3 linked regions of the Coturnix japonica genome follow. Each later gene encodes a partner of the first gene's protein in a complex. Links are inferred from orthologs where the notes say so. Each region holds a gene or a part of one and is shown in the gene's direction. Other genes may lie near its edges.

Evidence for each region. The genes of interacting proteins can lie anywhere in the genome.
Region 2: DRC1 (region 1) and GAS8 share a complex: the UniProt entries of both Homo sapiens proteins name them as parts of the nexin-dynein regulatory complex. The link is inferred for Coturnix japonica from reciprocal best matches to the Homo sapiens genes DRC1 and DRC4.
Region 3: DRC1 (region 1) and IQCG share a complex: the UniProt entries of both Homo sapiens proteins name them as parts of the nexin-dynein regulatory complex. The link is inferred for Coturnix japonica from reciprocal best matches to the Homo sapiens genes DRC1 and DRC9.

The regions. Positions count from the first base shown.
Region 1 is NC_029518.1:96,157,505-96,162,907, forward strand, and holds part of DRC1 (dynein regulatory complex protein 1), read left to right. Parts: intron 1-52; coding exon 53-236; intron 237-678; coding exon 679-816; intron 817-1,450; coding exon 1,451-1,537; intron 1,538-1,733; coding exon 1,734-1,856; intron 1,857-3,429; coding exon 3,430-3,569; intron 3,570-3,906; coding exon 3,907-4,041; intron 4,042-4,171; coding exon 4,172-4,401; intron 4,402-4,793; coding exon 4,794-4,954; intron 4,955-5,114; coding exon 5,115-5,204; intron 5,205-5,403. UniProt on the Homo sapiens protein: Component of the nexin-dynein regulatory complex (N-DRC) a key regulator of ciliary/flagellar motility which maintains the alignment and integrity of the distal axoneme and regulates microtubule sliding in motile axonemes.
Region 2 is NC_029526.1:16,806,585-16,812,575, forward strand, and holds the start of GAS8 (dynein regulatory complex subunit 4), read left to right. Parts: upstream 1-1,842; 5' UTR 1,843-1,918; coding exon 1,919-1,921; intron 1,922-2,311; coding exon 2,312-2,404; intron 2,405-3,049; coding exon 3,050-3,247; intron 3,248-3,430; coding exon 3,431-3,637; intron 3,638-4,181; coding exon 4,182-4,236; intron 4,237-4,812; coding exon 4,813-5,018; intron 5,019-5,299; coding exon 5,300-5,467; intron 5,468-5,827; coding exon 5,828-5,914; intron 5,915-5,991. Other genes in the region: DBNDD1 (dysbindin domain-containing protein 1), read right to left, coding at 688-736. UniProt on the Homo sapiens protein: Component of the nexin-dynein regulatory complex (N-DRC), a key regulator of ciliary/flagellar motility which maintains the alignment and integrity of the distal axoneme and regulates microtubule sliding in motile axonemes.
Region 3 is NC_029524.1:13,173,617-13,179,813, reverse strand, and holds the start of IQCG (dynein regulatory complex protein 9), read left to right. Parts: upstream 1-2,048; 5' UTR 2,049-2,071; coding exon 2,072-2,161; intron 2,162-2,249; coding exon 2,250-2,393; intron 2,394-4,756; coding exon 4,757-5,001; intron 5,002-5,310; coding exon 5,311-5,439; intron 5,440-6,197. Other genes in the region: RPL35A (60S ribosomal protein L35a), read right to left, coding at 260-404, 884-1,036, 1,521-1,531. UniProt on the Homo sapiens protein: Component of the nexin-dynein regulatory complex (N-DRC), a key regulator of ciliary/flagellar motility which maintains the alignment and integrity of the distal axoneme and regulates microtubule sliding in motile axonemes.

The DNA.
Region 1 (5,403 bases):
CACTGAACCACTTGTTGCCCTGCGATGGTTTACCTTCTTCTACTGCCCACAGGGTGGAGAAGCTGGAGAATGTAGCCAAGTACAGTGCTGAAAAGTTTGAGGAGATCACCTCGAAGTGGGCCTTGGCCAAAGATATGACAATCCCTCAGGATCTGTGGCAGCTGCTGAACCAACAGCAGCAGCTGTGCACGCAGCTTCTGGATGAGAAGAACAAGCTCATTGGTGAACTGCAGCAGGTAGTGTGGGAGCCATGCGGAGGTAACCAGGGAGGACTGGAGTTTTCAAGCTTTGGAGGGTGCTGTTCTAAAGCAACAGCCATCCCCCTGGCCCACCGAGGCCCCAGCACATGGCTGGGATGCATGCAGTGTCAGTTGGTCCAGGACAAGAAGGGGATTGTTTTCCTAAAGGGAAGCAAGTCTTCTCCAGAGCAGGTTCCTTGGCCCTCAGCAGCAGGAGTGGCCTATTGCAGATGTTTCACCTTCCACTCTATCTTCTTACCAGCTATGACCGACCTTTGGTGGTGATGTCTCTCCTCCCACCTTTCCTCCTAAATACCTCATGACTTGCTGGCCTTTTGTCCTTGTCACCTTTGGAAAAGGCAGGATCTGGGTCCTACATTCTCTGTTATCCCCTAGTAAAACATTCTCTCTGATTTCAGCATCTGCTGTCCTCCTCCAGGAGCTGAAAAACAAAGATGAGCAATACGTGCAAACCATTAAGAAGCAGTCAGATGACATCCACCTGCTTTTGGAGAGAATGGAGGAGCAGACCAGGATGATGTTACGAACTTACCGTCACAATATCCATCAGATTGAGGTAGCCAGTTCATTCGGTAGAAGTAGAGTTCAGGGAGAAAGACTGCAGCTGTTCCCTTCTCCATATCTGTTGCCAAAAGGCCTCAGCCTCTTTCCACCAGCTGGGTTGATTACTGTCCAGAGCAGAGAGCTGATGTCTTGATGAATGAAGCTCAAATCTGGCCAATCAAGAGCACTGAATGATGCTGGGTGCTGAGGGGCTGCTTTATACGATGCTGTGGATGACTTTGGTTCAGCACAGAGAAACATGGTAACATTTGAAAGCTATTGCTCTTTCATGGCTGGTTAATTGTCTTGCTAAAAGCCAAGAAGGAGCCTTGTTGGTCATAATTCTTACCTTCTGCAGAGCATGGAAAGTCACAAATCAGTGTTGTTGAGCGAGGGTTCAATATCAGACAATGATTTCCATTGAATTCACAGAGCTGCCACCAAAAGCAGCTCTCATGGGTTAGGGTGACTTACAGCTGTCCCAGTGGGCTCACAATGTCAGATCTCTGCCATTGAGAGGAGACATCAGGCCTGTGTGTATGTTCATTAGACAGGAGCAGCTGTCAGTCCTCTCCTGGTGTGGACTAGAACGAGGCTGGCAAATTGAGGTGCCACTGTGATGGTAAATGGCTCTGTCTCCTTGGCAGAAAACTTTTGAGCACGAACGGCGAGAGCTGCTGGACAACAACAGGAAGAAGTGGGAGGAGGCCATCCAGGACCTCAACACAAAAGAGGTAAAGTCCCCATGAGATTTATAAACTCTGATGGTGGCTGCTTGTTTAGGTGCATGGTGGGCAGAGGGGCAGGTATTTCAGCCTGTTTTGCCAGGGAATAATCCATGCATGACCTTGCTTAGTGCTGGCAGAGGGAGCTGTGATCATGGGAGGAAGCTGTCACCTCTGATGGATGATATTCTTCTTTTGCCCTTAGCTGGAATACCTACATTCCCGTGTGAGCAAGATAGAAGAGTTTGAGAAAGAGCTGAATCAGCTGCGACTGCGGGATGAGGAGGAGTATAACAGCATGAAGATTCATCTGGAGAATGATGTGCAGGTACAGAAAGGGCTGGTGTGTGCCATGTGGTGTGACAGTTGAGCAGACCACCCTGGTTTGTTCATTGCTCTGGAGGGCAGCTGGATGGTGTGTCTGGTATCTGATCACCTCAGCTCTTCAGCATGCACAATCCAGCTCCATGCCAACAGCATGATGGAGCTTTTAGTCTCTCCTCTCAGTGGGATCCACAGCACAGTATCAATGTGCCTTTGGCTTCTAAGCGGTCTGTAGCAGCTCTAGGATCTATGAAGCAGCTGGGAGTGTTGAGGGTTTTGCTTCTTCAGAAGTCAAGTTTGGTAGGAGGATCAAATAGTGTGAGTGTTTTGACACCAGATCATTTCAGATCAGACTAACTGCCTCCCTTGCAAAAGTCCGTGGCCTAGGAGGTTTGAGTTTTTGCCTCTGACATCTAGCCCTGGGCTCATGATTTCTCTAGTAGCCATGAAGTCATAGAATCATAGAATGGCCTGGACTGAAAAGGACCACAATGATCATCCATTTTCAGCCCCCCTGCTATGTGCATGGTTGCCAACCACCAAACCAAACTGCTCAGAGCCACGTCCAGCCTGGCCTTGAATGCCTCCACTTCTGCTTCCTTGGCTAAGCAGAGGACACAACCACAGCTGACACCTTCCCTGCTTGTTGTTATTTGTTGTTTCCCATGCTGCATGGTACAAACAGATTTGCATTTGACTTAGTAAGGCTCATTGCTTATTGTGGTTTCACCCAGCAGGCAGCTCAGCACCACACAGCTGTTCACTCACTTCCCTTCAGTGGGGTGGGAGAAGGAATCAGGAAAAGGTGAAACTTGTGATTGGCATAAAGACAGTTTAATAGAACAGAAAAAGAAGGGGAGATAATAATAATAAAGAACATACAAAGCAAGTGGTGCACAATGCAGTTGCTCACTACTCCCTTATCCCCTCCACTTTTGTTGCTGAGCATGATGCCATTTGGTATGGGATATCCCTTCAGTGATTTTGGGTCAACTGTCCTGGTTCTTTTCCCTTCCAACACCTTGTGAACCCCTATTCTCCTCACTGTCCATGTGGGCAGCAACAAGAAGCAGAAAAGTCCTTGGCTCTGTGTAAGCACTGCTCTGCAACAACAACAACATCAATGTGTTATCAGAATTCTTTTCCTCCTAAATCCATAACATGGCACCATGCCAGACACTACAGAGAAAATTCACTCTGTCTCAGCCAAAACTAGGGCAGTCCCACATGATGTTTTCCTAGGAGGCCTGGGGAAATACAAGCTAGGAGCCGTGTCTGCAAGGTTTTGCAACACAAACAGCAGGTGAAACATTGCTGTCGCAAGGTCCCTGTCCACTTGATAGAGCAATTCCAAGGGGACAGTTCAGATTCTGTGACTTCATATTGATAACTCGGGCTGATATAGATTGTGTAACGTTCACAAATGTTTCTGAGCCATTTAGGGTGGGAGAAATGTGCCTGGGAAGCTGGGTTTGGAGTTACAGGTTTGGAGTTACTTACATTACTGAGTTATAGTCAGGCTTCTCTGTGTCCTTTGCTTACAGCACAGCTTCTTTCCATGTTTTCTGAATTGACAGAACCTGGAGAGGCAGATCCAGCATATGAAAGCTGTCTATTTGATCAACCAGGAGAAGCTGGAATACAACCTTCAGGTGCTTAGGAAGCAAGATGAGGAGAACACCATCATCAGGGCACAACAAAAGAGGAAGCTCAACCGGTAAAAAACCATCCCTGGAAAACGAACAGGCTCTGCTTTACCTGCTGCCATCTCCTAACATACCATTTGTTTTTGTGGAAACCATCACTAGCACAGGATTGAGCTCTGACCTGCCCCATCCCTGGGCAGGGGGAGAGTTTAGTCCAGGGCAGCACCATCCCCAGAACAGTTTGAATAATCTGGCAGTGACCAAACTGTGCCAACTAGGTGGGATTCAGTCAGGTCTTGGTGCTGGTCACTAGCAGATGGGTAGCTCCAACTCCCAAAGCCTTCATACATGTGAGATTTGCCCTAAAGTGCCTCTTTGGGAATCCCCAGCTTTGCTATCCCTCTCCAGGCTCAACAGCTTACTCAGTAATCTGAGAAAAAAACTGGTCAAACAAGAGAAGCAGTTCAGAGAGGAGAACCAGAGTCTTGTAGCTGAGTGCGAGCGCATCAACGGACGATGCAAGGATGTGCAGAGAAAGATGAGGTGGGCTGTGTTTGGAGGCCTGGCCATCCATCTGTGATGAGGCTTCAGAGCATTTGAATGACATACAGAGGGGGGCTGACTCATTTATGGACACAAAAGCTGCTTCTATGGGCTTTCTTTCTCTACACAGGCACTTTGCAGCCTGTGATGCTGACAAGTTCGTGAAGGTCTGGCTTATGAATGAGGAGGAAGCCAAAGGGTTAATGCGGAAAGCTCTCGATGCAGATCGAATCATTCACACCCAGCAACTGGGACTGCCCTGGGAAGAGCCTCATTACTGGTTCCTCAACAACGTCGGCCCCTGCGGGCAGTACAAGGCAAAGAAGACGGCAAGCAAATTGGCCGCAGAGGTCCTGACAGGTGAGACACAGCCTCAGTGCCCTTGTCACCTCTGTGGCACTGGGTAACCCTCACCTTCCTCCATGAGAGCCCCCACAGTCTCTCCTGTCTTTGTCATTGCAAAAGGATCTGACTGACTGTGTGAGTTCAGTCAGGTTTGGTATGTGCCTGCTCTGAGCTGGCTCATTCCAAGCCACCTTGGGGATCTTAGCACTGAGCTGTGCTCATTGCTCCCAGCACCAGATGAGCTGACCCAGAGCCAGCTCACATCCTGGTCTTTTTGGCATAATTTCCAGGTCACCAGGATGACCGTGATTTCCCTGATGAAAGCTGCAGTGATGTTACTAGTACTGACCTGGGGAGCACAGACAAAGCATAAAGACTTTTTTTCTCACCCTTTTTCTGTCTTGCAGAGAGCACCAGTGGGGCACAGGAAAAGAAAGAGAAGGAAGAAGTGGGCAGCGGAGAAGGCCGGAAAGAAAACATAGCAAAGGCTGGGGATACAATCAATCCTCTGCAAAATATATCCAAGAGAACTGCCAAGAGGATCCTGGAGCTCGTGAGCGATGAGTCGGTGCGTGATGATGCAGTAGGAGGAATATCCTCATGCTGCCCAGCTGCTGCCCTTGGAGGGTGGCACAGCCATAGCATGGCACAAGTTGGCTGCAGGGTGCTGGGTTCTGGGCCTGAATGGAGATGCTCACTGTTTCTGTGCTTCCTTTGTGTCTGCCAAGGGTTTCCTCATTGAGAGAAAGCTGCTGGGGCCTCTGCGTGCGCTGGGAAAGCATGATTGCACCCTCTTGAGGCTTGACTCCATCTTTTCGGTGAGTTGTCTGTTGGCCCATCAGCAGTGTCGTGATAGTCTGAGTCTTTGCTCTGAACTGGTCAGGCCACTGCTGGGGAGCTGCCTCTATGTTTGACCTCTCTCCTCTTGGAAACTGGGAACCAAGTAGGAAAGTCTGGAGCAGGAGGCTGGAGAAAGGTCTGGAGAACATGAGGAGTGATGGGCAGCCAGAAGAACAA
Region 2 (5,991 bases), on another chromosome or scaffold:
CAGCCCCCCGCCCCTCACAGCCCTTTTGTGTCGGTGAGACAAAAGCACAGCCTGTTCAGAGCCCAGAGCCCAGACAAGGGGCGTTTTGTCTCCTGAGAAGAGCTGGCGGGGCTGGGCAGAGGCAGTGCCTGGAAAAGCCCCTCGTCAGGGACAGCCAGGGCTGAGCTGGCACTGGGCAGGGCCAAGAGGCCCAGTGTGTGTGCAGCAGCATAGGGCACTATGGCCCCTGGTCTGCTTGGTGTCACAGCTGGACCCAGCTACCCACCGCTGGGCCCTGTCCTAGTTAGCTGCTGGGTGAGATGGTATGGGGACAGGCTCACTGGGGGCAGGGCATTGCCTCCTTCCCCCAGGCAGCTGGCACTGTGGTGGGCAGGGGACAGAAATCCCACTGCCCAAAGGAGCCAGCAGAGGGAAAGGGAAATTAACAATGGCATTTGACAAGGAAGCAGCACAATGCCCAAGCGACTGTCCCAACACCATGTCCCAGCCCTGCAAGGTAGGACAGGACACCCATCACTACCACCACCCCTCCTCCATCTGGGAAACCAGATTCCCACCCTGCTCCTTGGCCAGGAAGAGCCATGCACATCCTCAACCTCAACCCCAGGGTGGGCAACCACCATCCAAAGCACGTCCTTCCCCCGCCATCATCCCATCCCCACTCCCCCCAGCAGAGCCCCCACCCACCGGGGCGCTGGTCCCTGCCGCAGCAATCCCCTCTGGCCCCCGTCTGCATGTCGTCTCCGTGCTGCGTTGCTCAGGCTCACCGGCTGTCTCCTGGCAAGGAGCAAGGCCAGCATCAGGGCTCGGTGCTCTGCTGACTCACGTCAACCGCAGAGTGAGACAGCAGTGGGCTCCATTCACCCCAATGGGGGGCTCCGGTCACCCCACCAGGATCCCCAACCCATCTCAAGGACCTGGTGAGGTGGGAGGGCATGGCCGGGGCTGTCAGCGAGCGGCACAGCGGCGCACAGGGCACAGTCAGGAGGGATGGGAGGAGAGGAGACACACACTGAGGAGGGATGGGAGTGTGCAGGAGACACACGATGCCGCCCGAACAACACCACGGCTCCAGGAACCCCCGGGTGTAGCGTTACGGCCGGTGCCCGCAGGTGTCACACCGCTGCCTGCAGGCAGGTGGCAGCGCCACGGCTCCGGCTCCATGGGGCACATCTCAGACTCCTGCGAGCCCGGCTGAACCGCTCAGCGGGGCGGGGGTTCAGATAGGGCAGGGGTGGGGGTCATATAGGCACCGCAGGGGTGGGGTTCATGATAGGGCAGGGGTGGAGGAGTTCATCTTTGGGCAGGGGGTGGGGGTTCATAGTAGGGCAAGGGGTGGGGGTTCATATAGGGCAGGGGGTGGGGGTTCATATAGGGCAGGGGGTGGGGGTTCATATAGGGCAGGGGTGGGGGTTCATATAGGGCAGGGGGTGGGGGTTCATATAGGGCAGGGGTGAGATGTGCCGCACTCCATGTCCCCAGCTCACAGCCACCTTCATGTTCGTAGTGCAGGTCTGCTCCCCGTTCGGACACACCCCCTGCACACACACCCCCCTCCCGTTGCACACCTACCCTCCCCCTCCCCGTCACCCCCGTGCCCCGCTCGGCCCGACCCGATCCCGCGGTGCCGGGCTGCCCTCACCCCACTCCAGCCCCCCCCATCCCCGCTCACCTGCGGTACCGGCCCGCTCCCGGAGCCTCCATGGGCCGGCCGGGCCGGGCCGGTGCCGGTTGCCGGTGTCGGTGCTCGGTGCCCGGTACTGGGCGGGGCGGGGTGGGCCCGGTGCCAGCCCGCAGCCCGCTCGCTCCTGCCCGCCGCGGGGGTGGGGCCGGGGGCGGGCAGGGGGCGGAGGCCGGAGCCGGGGGGGGGGACCCGTCCTAACGTTGCCTGGGAGATCACGCAGCAGCCGTGGCCGCCATGGTGAGGGGTTGGGCCGGGCCGGGCCGCGGGGCCTTCAACACTCAGCTTAGCGGCCCAGGGGGCCCGGAGCCGGGCGTGGGGGCTCCGGGAAACGGGGCTGTCCTGGGTGGGGTGGTGGGCACCTGGAACTCGGTGCTGAGGGAAGAGCTGGTTGTGCTGTGTCTGGGCCTTCCGCCTGGGGGGGGTGCCCTGGGGAGGGGTCGGGGTCCTGGTCCTGGTCCTGGTCCTGGTCCTGGTTCTGGTTCTGGTTCTGGTCCTGGTCCGAACATAGCACCCGTTCCACCCCGCCATGGCAGCAGGTGTGCTGTGTTGGCATCCTGTGAGCCCTGTGCAGCACAGCTCCCACTCACACTGTGCTTACAACTCACAACTTTCATTTTCTTTCTGCAGGCACCCAAAAAGAAAGGTGGAAAAGGGGGGAAAAAGGGCAAAGCCGCAGCAGTGCCGGAAGCTGTGCCCCTAGAAGAGATGAGCAAGGAGCAGGTGAGTGCTGTGCTATCCCTTGTGCCATGGCTGAGGCCCCAGGCTGACAGGTGGCAGTGGGGTCTGTTCTCCCCTTTAACTAGATTTCCTTTACCTTTCTGATATGAGCAGTCTCTTCTCTGCAGGTTATTGTGCTTAAGCTCAACCCCCTGTTCTCTCAGTCTACATCTCTGTGCTTTGCAGCCCACTGAACTCTCAGCACGTCCCGAATTGTGCTGCTTTGGGGGTGGGAGGCTCCCCTAGTGACAGCGAGGACAAGTAGATGCCATAGCTGCCCAACACGGGCCTACTGCCCTGGATGTCCTATAAACACAGGAGGAGATAATACTGTTCTGGGGCACCTTGGTCTGCAGATAAGATCTCACATGTCTCAGTGTTATTTAGCATCTGAGAATGTGAGACGGAATGCCTGAGCCCTGTCTGCTTATGAAAGGACGAGATCTTGTTGCTCTTTTTCGGGGGTCATTTGTCAATTCCTGAGCACTTCGCTCCTTCTGTTCTCTCTTAGAGAGAAAATAAATAAAGGCTTCCATACCACGTCCTCCAGGCTTGTAACAGAGCTCACCACTGATATCTGTGAGGCCTGTTTTTCAAGGGAGCTGTGCTCCTTCTCCCTCTACTTCTCTTTTCCTCTTTGCTTTGCAGCTGCTGGAGCACACTACACGTCTCAGGAAGGAGCTGGACCGGGAACGGGAAGAGCGCAACTACTTCCAGCTGGAGCGTGACAAGATCCACACCTTCTGGGAGGTCACCCGACGGCAGCTGGAGGAGAAGAAAGCAGAGCTGCGTAACAAGGACAGGGAGATGGAGGAGGCAGAGGAGCGGCATCAAGTAGAGATCAAGGTGGGAGGGTGAGATGTGTGGCCCTTTTTTTTCCCTCGTGCCCTGGGAGATAAGGGAAGGAGACAGAGGGGGAGTAGCTGGGCTGGATACAAGTCAGGAGTGTCTCAGTTCATACCCGAACTTCAGATGTTTTTCTGCTGGCTCCTGCTGATGTCTCTCACCTGGTCTCTGGCTTGTTTTCAGGTTTACAAGCAGAAGGTGAAGCACTTGTTGTATGAACACCAGGAAAACCTCTCCGAGCTGAAAGTAGAGGGTACCTTGTCCATGAAACGGGCCCAGAAGGATCACTGGGCTCAGGAGACAGAGCTGCGCAAAGAGATGCGTTCCTTGAAAGTGGACCTGAAGGAGCAAGAGCTGGCCAACGAGGTGGTGGTGAAAAACCTGCGCCTGGTAAGTGTCTGGCTGGGCAGATCTGCATGCAAAGTGCCTTCGCTGCAGAGGGAAGTGGTGGGTCTCTGGTATGCAAGCAGGAGGCTACATCCTCTGGTGTCTTGGTGAGGTGGGAATGGGGTTTCCCACAGATATAAGTGTCAGATGTACTTGAGAGGCACTGGAAAGAGCACAGGAACAGGGACAATGGGTTCCTGGGGCGAGTGCTGTGAAAGCTCTCCTGCAGGAAAGAGAGTCAATCTCATGGCTCAAAGCCACGAGGACAGCTGGAAAACCTAATACAGGTTGGTTTGTATAATAGGTTCATGCTGTGGTGGCAGCCTTTCGCAGGGAGCAGGAAAGGCTCCTGCAGGATGTGGCTGACCATGTTTTTTTTCTGCTTGCTGGGACAGCACCTGATTGCTGGACTCCAGCCCTGTGGCTGGACATGGCCTGTGTGGACATCAGTGACTGGAGAATGGCCGCCTCTAGCCTGTGCTGTATAGTGATGCAGTGACCTCAGGATTGAGTTGTGTGCCTCTAACATGATACTTTTCCCTAACAGAAACAAGAGGAGGAGATCACACAGCTATGCAATGACTTCGAGAGACAAGTGAAAGGTCAGGACATGCTCGAAGCCCCTGTGTCTGTGTGCTGAGGAAGCCTCCTTGGAGCTCCTCTGTGCTGTTAGCCTTCCTGGAGAAGAAAGAGGCCACTTCTCCCCTCGATTCTTGCTCTCTGCTCATGGCTGCTGGGCTGTGTGGCTAACAGTGCTGTCCAAACTGAACTCAGCCTGGCTTGAATGTGCTGTGAAAATGGAGCCTGGACAGGCTGGGTGGAGGCAGGGCTCTCACTGCTGCCAGCCCATACTGCTGAGCACAGTTGCCTGGCTGGGTGGCTGGAGGAGTCCTTTCAGATTTAAGTCCTGGCTCCAGTGCTCTCCTCAGGGGACGCATCAGGTTCTCACGGGCTGCCTTGGAGCGTTTCCATGCCCTGTTTCCAGGATGCTATTTCTGGGCTCTGCTCTCCATGGTCCCAACGTAACTGCTCCGTGTGCTGGTGGCAGCTGCTGTGGGGCTGTTAACAAGCATCTTGTCTTTGAGCAGTGCTGCAGTGGCACATGTTGGGCTGCTGCTTGCTAACAGAGCCTAGGTTCTGTGGGAGGGTCTCATTCGGCCCCCTGTGCACTTCCCCAGAGATGGAGGCCAGGTACAACAGGAAGATGCAAGCTCTGCGGGATCAGCTTGACCTGCGCCGAAAGACTGAGATCCATGAAGTCGAGGAGAGGAAAAACAACCAGATCAGTGAGCTGATGAAGAACCATGAGAAAGCCTTCCATGACTTCAAGAACTACCATGAAGATGTCACCTTCCAAAACCTGGCGCTCGTCAGCTTGCTGAAGGTAATGCCTGCCTGCTCTCTGACCCCGCTGCTGCAGCCCTGTTGTGTAGTGTCACCAGGGAGCTGGTCCAGTAACTTGCCCCAGATCTGGCCAGTTCCCTGGTGGAAGTCCTGGCACTCCTGTTTTCCTGGGAGTTGTACGACATTACATGAGCAAAGTTCTTGTACACAGAGAGATGTGGCTTGCTGGGCCAGCACTGGGAGGGTGTTGGGACTTGGGAAGCTGTGAGGAGCTGGGCAGACCCTGCCTATAGGAACTAGCACTTGTGTTCCCAAAAACAGGAACAGGTGGAGGAGGCGAAGCAGAGAGAAACTCAACTGGAGAAGGAGAAGGCAGATGCCTTGCTTCAGAACAAGCAACTGAAGGAGACCCTGCAGCAGGCCCAGGAGCTGGTGTTTGAGCTGCAGAAGAAGTTGGCCCACTACGATAAGGACAAGGAGGCTCTGATGGTGAGCTGCCAGCCCTGCTGAGCCCTTTTCTATTCTTTCCTGGGTCACTTTGGCTGTTTCCTGGCATTGCTCAGCAGTGACCTCTGCCGCTCGGCTGAGAGCTCTTCGGCCAGACTGCTGGGCAAATGCACTGGGGTCCCTTTCAGCTTATTTGGATGCGTGTAAGAACTCAGACAGGACTCCAGAACTCTGGCAGCAAGAAAGAAGAGCAGACCCTGCTGCAGAGAGGGAAGGGTGTTGGTGTGGCTGTAGCTTGTGTTCTCTCAACCCCATTTCTTCTGCTGGTTGCTCTCCCCCTTGCCAGAACACAGAACACCCATCTCCCAGAGAAGTCTTGTAATTGTTGCCTCCTACTTGCAGAACACAAAAGCCCATCTGAAAATCAACCAGAAGGAACTGAAAGACCTTCAATGGGAACATGAAGTGCTGGAGCAGCGGTTCTCTAAGGTGAGATCTGCAGGTGGGTCTGGCCATCCTGTTTCTCTCTCCAAACCCTGTCCCCATATAGAGGTTTAGGCACTAGG
Region 3 (6,197 bases), on another chromosome or scaffold:
GCTGAGTGACGTGAAGCAGCATCTGATGGTATCAAAGCTCCCACCCAGCAGTCACTCTCCTGCTCAGCCTTCCCATGCCTACTTTGAGGACTCTGCCATGCAGCTCATGCAGTTATATGGGGAGTAAGAGAAGTTGATGCCGCAGCTCCCTTGCCACTAGGTAGGAAATGAGGCAGAGTACAAAAAGCAATGGTGCAAGATGAGATTACGAGGCAGCCCAAAGGCTGACAAGGAGCCCCTGGTTCCTAATGCTGCTCACCACTCGGATCCTGTGTCCGATGGCCTTGGCGGGGAGGTTGGAGCGGAACTTGGCACGAACCATCCCGCTGTTCCCATGGGCGCGGGTCACCTTCCCCCAGATCACCCGCGTCCTGTTGGGTTTCCCACCGGGGGTGACGGTGTTGCTGAGGGAACAAAAAGACACAGAACTCAGTGTGTTTCCTTTGGAATGAACCTGGAGTATCTTAACGTAGGATTTCTCCAGTCACACCACAGGCACAAAGGGCCTCAGGCATCGAGACAGGCAGCAGCTACAAGAAGCCACGTGCCACCCTTGAAATGACAGCAGTGATGAACAGCCTGACAAATTTATTACAGGGAATTCCACATCTGACATCAGAACAACCACTCTCAAAGAAAAATCAAGCAGAAGACAATAAACAATTGTTCTTAAAGCCTCTACCACTGCAGGCACAGCAGAGCTGTGACACACACACACAAGGGCTGCTCTATCAACTTCTTTTTGCCTGGCAAAATATTCCACCTCTAAGGATCTCAAAAACTCAATGATCACCACAAACTCATCTCGCTTCAATTTGCTGCCAACCAACTGACTGCTCACATCCCGGCATTTGCAAAAGATAATAAAAGACGACCAACTTACTTCTTAGCTTTGTAGACATAGGCACATCTCTTGCCTAAGTAGAACTCTGTCTCCTGGCGAGCGTAAACACCTTCAATTTTCAGCAGGGCAGTGTGCTCCCGCTGGTTCCGGAGGCCACGTTTGTAGCCAGCAAAAGTGGCCTTGCACCACAACCTAAAGACATGGAGAAAGAACAGATTAACTCAGTTTAACACATTAAACTTTGGTTGGAAGGGACCTCAAAGCCCACCGTGTACCATGGGCTGGATGCCTCCACCAGCTCAAGCTGCCCAGGGCCCATCCAACTTGGCCTTGGGCACCTGCAGGGAGGGGGCACCCACAGCTTTGGGTAGCACTGCTGGTTCCTCAATGCTTAATGAGTATAAAAACATCTTCACATCTCACAGAAATCTATTAGGCCATGTAAGAAGTTGGTCCCCCCTTCTGTTTCTATGTTCCCTTCAAGGCTGAACTGCTACAGCCAGCTGAAGACAGGGGTTTCAAGAGAGCAACACAAACGTAGCGATGTAACACACACACACAGAGATCGCCCTGTGTGTGCACCGGGCAGCGCCGTGCTGGGACAGCAGAGACTCAGCGGTGCCGTCAGCACAGCGCAGCTCCCCATCCAGCCGTACAGACACAGGCAGACACTCACCTCCCGGTCATGGCGTCCTCGTGCAGCGCAGTCCCGGCAGCTCAGCCTACAAACAACACACCCCGCTCAGTGCCCACAGCCCGACAAGGCCTCAGCACCGCGGGCTGCAGCGGGCCGGCTCCGGCTCCTCACAGCGCAAGGCCCCGCCGGCACCTCAGCTCCCTTCAGCCCCAGAGCCGACACCATCCGCCGTGTATCGGCGCCATCCCGCCCGCTCCACACCCGACACCCCGCCATCCGCCCCGCCCCGGTGTCCCCGCCGCCGCCGGGATGGTCATTGCCCGACACAACGCCCGACACAACGCCCGACACAACACCCCGCCCGCCGCACCCCGCTCACCAGCACGGCGCGCAGCCAAGATGGCGGCCAAAGGACGAGGCGGCGCGCGGCCCGCCGGGATTGCGGCTCTAAGGGCCCCGGCTGCGGGCTGCCCGTGTCACAGCCTGAGCGCACACGGTACGGGCCGACACAGCGCTGGGTGTGCACCGATATCGGTGCCTTTTGTCGTCCCTCGCCATGTCCGTGAGTCCCGTTACTCCTCCGGGCGGCGATGAGGGAACAGGCCTCGGCACCCGCAGGGACAGCCCCGCCAGGACCCCGGGCGCCATGGAGACGGCGTCGCGTTGAGCGCCGCGGAACGGTACTGAGCGGTGAGGGAGAGGGGTGGGCTTTGGTTTAGTGTTACTAACACCATCCCACCTCTATTCCTCTTTATTCCTCTTTACAAGAGCACAGGCACTAAAGAAATGGAGAAGCTCCCTCGGCTGGAAGCTCTGCTGCTCACTGCTGTGCTGGAGAATTGCATCGATCAGCTCGCCATCCTCGGGTACATCATGCCGGTTTCACAGGAGGGCAAGGCAGATGTCAGCAGTGTATGTGCCTCTGTGTTTGCTCTCATTTTTCTCAATGCCTTTTATGTCTTCTGTCAGCATTCTATAAGTCTCCACACAGGTACTTGTCTCTTTGGCATGGCTGTGTGAAGGACCCTGGTGACATAAGATGAGCTTCTGAGGCTTCATTCTACAACCTCAGTGGTCAGATGATAAGTAAAGGATCAGGGGAAAATAAACAACAGATGGCTGACGTCTCCTAAGTGCACAGCTTTATAAATAATAAAGAACAGGGACTTTGATAATACCCCAAATCAGGGTCATTCTGATACTCTATAAGCACACACTGAAGCTCCTCTAGTCCCCACAGACAACAAAATAAGACAGATTTCCCTTCAAAAATCTATTAGTAACTACTCATTATTAATGCCCGTTATTAATGAGTTGATTTCTAATAGACACCGTAACTAAGTGGTTCTGGGGAGAGGCATAAAGTAGAGCAGAAGCTGCTCGACATAACTGTAGTGCTCGATCAATGCTCCGGCTGCGCTATAGAGGGCACTGCTCTCCTTAGAGAGCACCCTGAGCCCGTCTCACCTGTTGGCCGAGGATGCTTTTCTCCCACAGATGGGGCTGTGAAAGCTCCGCTGTGCCAGCTGATCTGATACAGCAGATCCCGAGAATGGTGGGCGCAGTTCTCCTTCTCCCTCACACACACTGAGGCTGACAGACCTCCTAGAGGTACACTTGGTTTTTCTCTTCAAACACAGAGGCTCGTTTTTACTAAGTAGTTTATTTCTTAAGACACAACTTTCCCATGGAGTACAATCCTCAAATCAAGGAGGAAGCAGTTTAGAAACCAGAAAATGGCTCTGGAGAAGCCAACTTTTAGAGCCTCAGTCACTGTGTTGCTTGTTCCTAAATCAGGGACTCTTGTAGACTGCTTCATGCAGTGCATTCCCCAGAGAAGGCAGCCCTTCTGTCTGCTAAATTTAGGGCAAAAGACCAGCAAAGATAAACAGCAGGGACTGCATGGATGGCACCACACGCCATTTACAGTCTCCTTGCTCTCCTGTAGTTCTTTGGCAATTATTAGTGCTTAATTCTCTACTGTTTACAGATAATCCAGTTATAGCCTGTTTTCAGCTTTCCCAGACATTATAAACAGCTATTACAGCACCCATAAAAGCTACATGATATTAAAAACTATTTGTTTGCCTAGAATAGTTATTTCAGAAATACAGCCTTCACCATCCAACTACTTACACCCCTTTTTCTTCCCCCTAATTAACCACGTAATTTTCATAGGTCTCAGGATACTTTGCATGAGATTCATTTCATGTAAATTTAACTGTCCAAAAATTAAGCATGGAGTCACTTAGTCTCCTTCTGCACTCAGTGGTGACTCATGCGGTCCAGGGGCTACTTCCTCCCCTCCTAAGCTGCATTCAGGAGCATCAGCCTTTTGCAGCGCCCTGCACGCTGTCCCCATTGACCACAGCAGGACCTCGAACACGAATAGAGCCTTTCTCCATCAGGGTCTTCTTAGAATTATTACCAGCATATGCTGTTCCTGCTCTGACCTCTTGTTTTCACTCTGCCCTTTGTGCTGTGTTGGCACAAACATTTGTGTGGTTGTGCAGTGATCTGGACTGCTAAAAATATATCTTTTTTCTTTCTTTCTTTCTTTTTTTTTTTTTGCTGGAAAATGTTTCAGTGAGTTGTTTTTTCCATTTCACGAGCAGTCAGGGTGGGCAATAGGCAGCTACGGACTAGGATGAGGATGGAAGCCTCTGCATTAGTTGGCTCTGGTGGTGCTGCTGTGAAGTACGTAGTGACAGGCTAAGATCAGCTTCTGTTCTTATGACTACACTGTAAGTAAAGGCCTTGGTGACAGGCATAGGGCAAAGGCTGAGGAGAAACAGATTAACAAGCTTCCTGTATATAAAAGCTGCTGCAAAGGAAGGAAGGAAGGATTTTTTTCTGTGCCTACAGAGACTGGGATGAGAAGTCAGGGGCTCAGCTGCTGAAGTTTCAGAAGCTTCCTTACAAGAATGGCACGCTGGTACTGACTGCAGGGCAATACAGCCTCCATGGCTGGGGGTCCTTAAGAACCAAACATCTGAATCATCACCTCTTGGGGCAGGTGAACCGACCTTCTGAGGCCTTTTCTAGTCCTGTCACTTTTGGCCTTTTGATCCCATCAACTTCAGTAAGCCTAAATTGTGTGCTCACATCTCACCCAGATGAACATTTCTGGTATTTGGTTCTTTGTAGACTCATCAACTGGCCATCGTATAGGTGGATTCTTGTTTATTGTTAATTCTTCTTCCTCCCACATAAAGCTGCATAGAGTCTATTCCTATTGCTCAATGTGCAAGCAGGTTTCTCTTACTCTCTTTTAGATCAACAGCCAGGAAATGAAAGAAATCACAGACACACAGAATGTGCAGGACATTAAGTATCAAGAGCTTCCCCCTGCAAAGCAAGGGAGTGGGGAAACTGTTACCTCGAAGTCTCTGAAAAGCACTGAACAGAAGCAGCAGCTGGGGAACTCTGCGGATCCAAAACGAGCCCAACATCCTTCCAAAAGGGCCACGAAACCCAATGCTCCATCTGCAGAATATCTCAGAAAAATTCAGGCTGACAGGTAAGTGAAGCACAAGTGTGATGCCTGTGCAGGATGCTCAGAGCTGTAAAGTTCTCACTTTACCTCTGCAAAGCAAAATACAGGCTTCTCATCCTCCCACTGCTAGTGTTCCCCAGTTGTGGCTATATCTAAGAATGGCTATATCTAAGGGGAGCACCATGGCCTTGCCATGAGATCTCATGATCTCAGTTATTCTGTAGGGTACACAGAAGCCCTATGGCAGTAGGGCAATAATTGATAAAGGTGCCAGACTCCGTGTTATCAGTGTACACCTATACATTACTGTTGTGTTCCTTTTCTCCCTGGTAGGCAGTATGTGAGTGATGTAATTACAGCCACTATGAAGAAGATGGAGGAATCGGGAACATTTGATAGCCTAATAGAAGCTAATGGGAGAGAGAAAGCAAAGAAAAGCAACTTGAATGACATCCTCATCAGGTCAGAGTTGTGCTTTGTACTTTTCTGATTAGTGACCTAGAGCCAAAGCTCATTTTCCCTCATTATACAATGTAAAAGGAAAACAAAAACAAACTCTACATCAAGATATGGAAGGGATCCCTTTTCAGCTTGAATTATCCTGACTACTTCACAAATTGCATTTGCCCTTGGAGAGGAAAATAACTGACTGTAATAATACTAATCTGACTTGGGAATTGCCTGAGCTTGGACCACAGCGGACACCAGTGTCTGCATTGATGCAAACTCTGCTCCATATCAATTAAAACATAATGTGATGGAGGAGTTTTCTGACCTTCAACTCCTTGTCCCCAGAGGAAGCCAGAGTAGCAAATAATCTGCTCAAACCAAGGTCAGCAACATACGGACTTGAGGTTATACGATGCCCAGGAGAATCTGCTTTGACCCAAATGCTAATGTGCTCCCTTTTTCCAATGCAGGGTTAGCACAGATGGTGGCAGAGGCAATTGTCTTTTGAACGTGAAGCCCACCACTTCCAGCATCTAAAACCAAGGGATTTATTGTTTCTCCAAGGAAGGGTCAGAAAGCAAAAAATGAAAGCAGCTGTTGCTTGTGGAATCCCTGTTCAACACTGGAGTTAGAAAGGGGGCATACAAATTTTAATCATTTTTTTATTCCATTATATCAACCATATCTAAGCACTGTGCTATCTGTTCTACTGCACATTCTTTTCATTGAATGAACTTGATCTGTATTTAAATATACCATATACTTGTCTG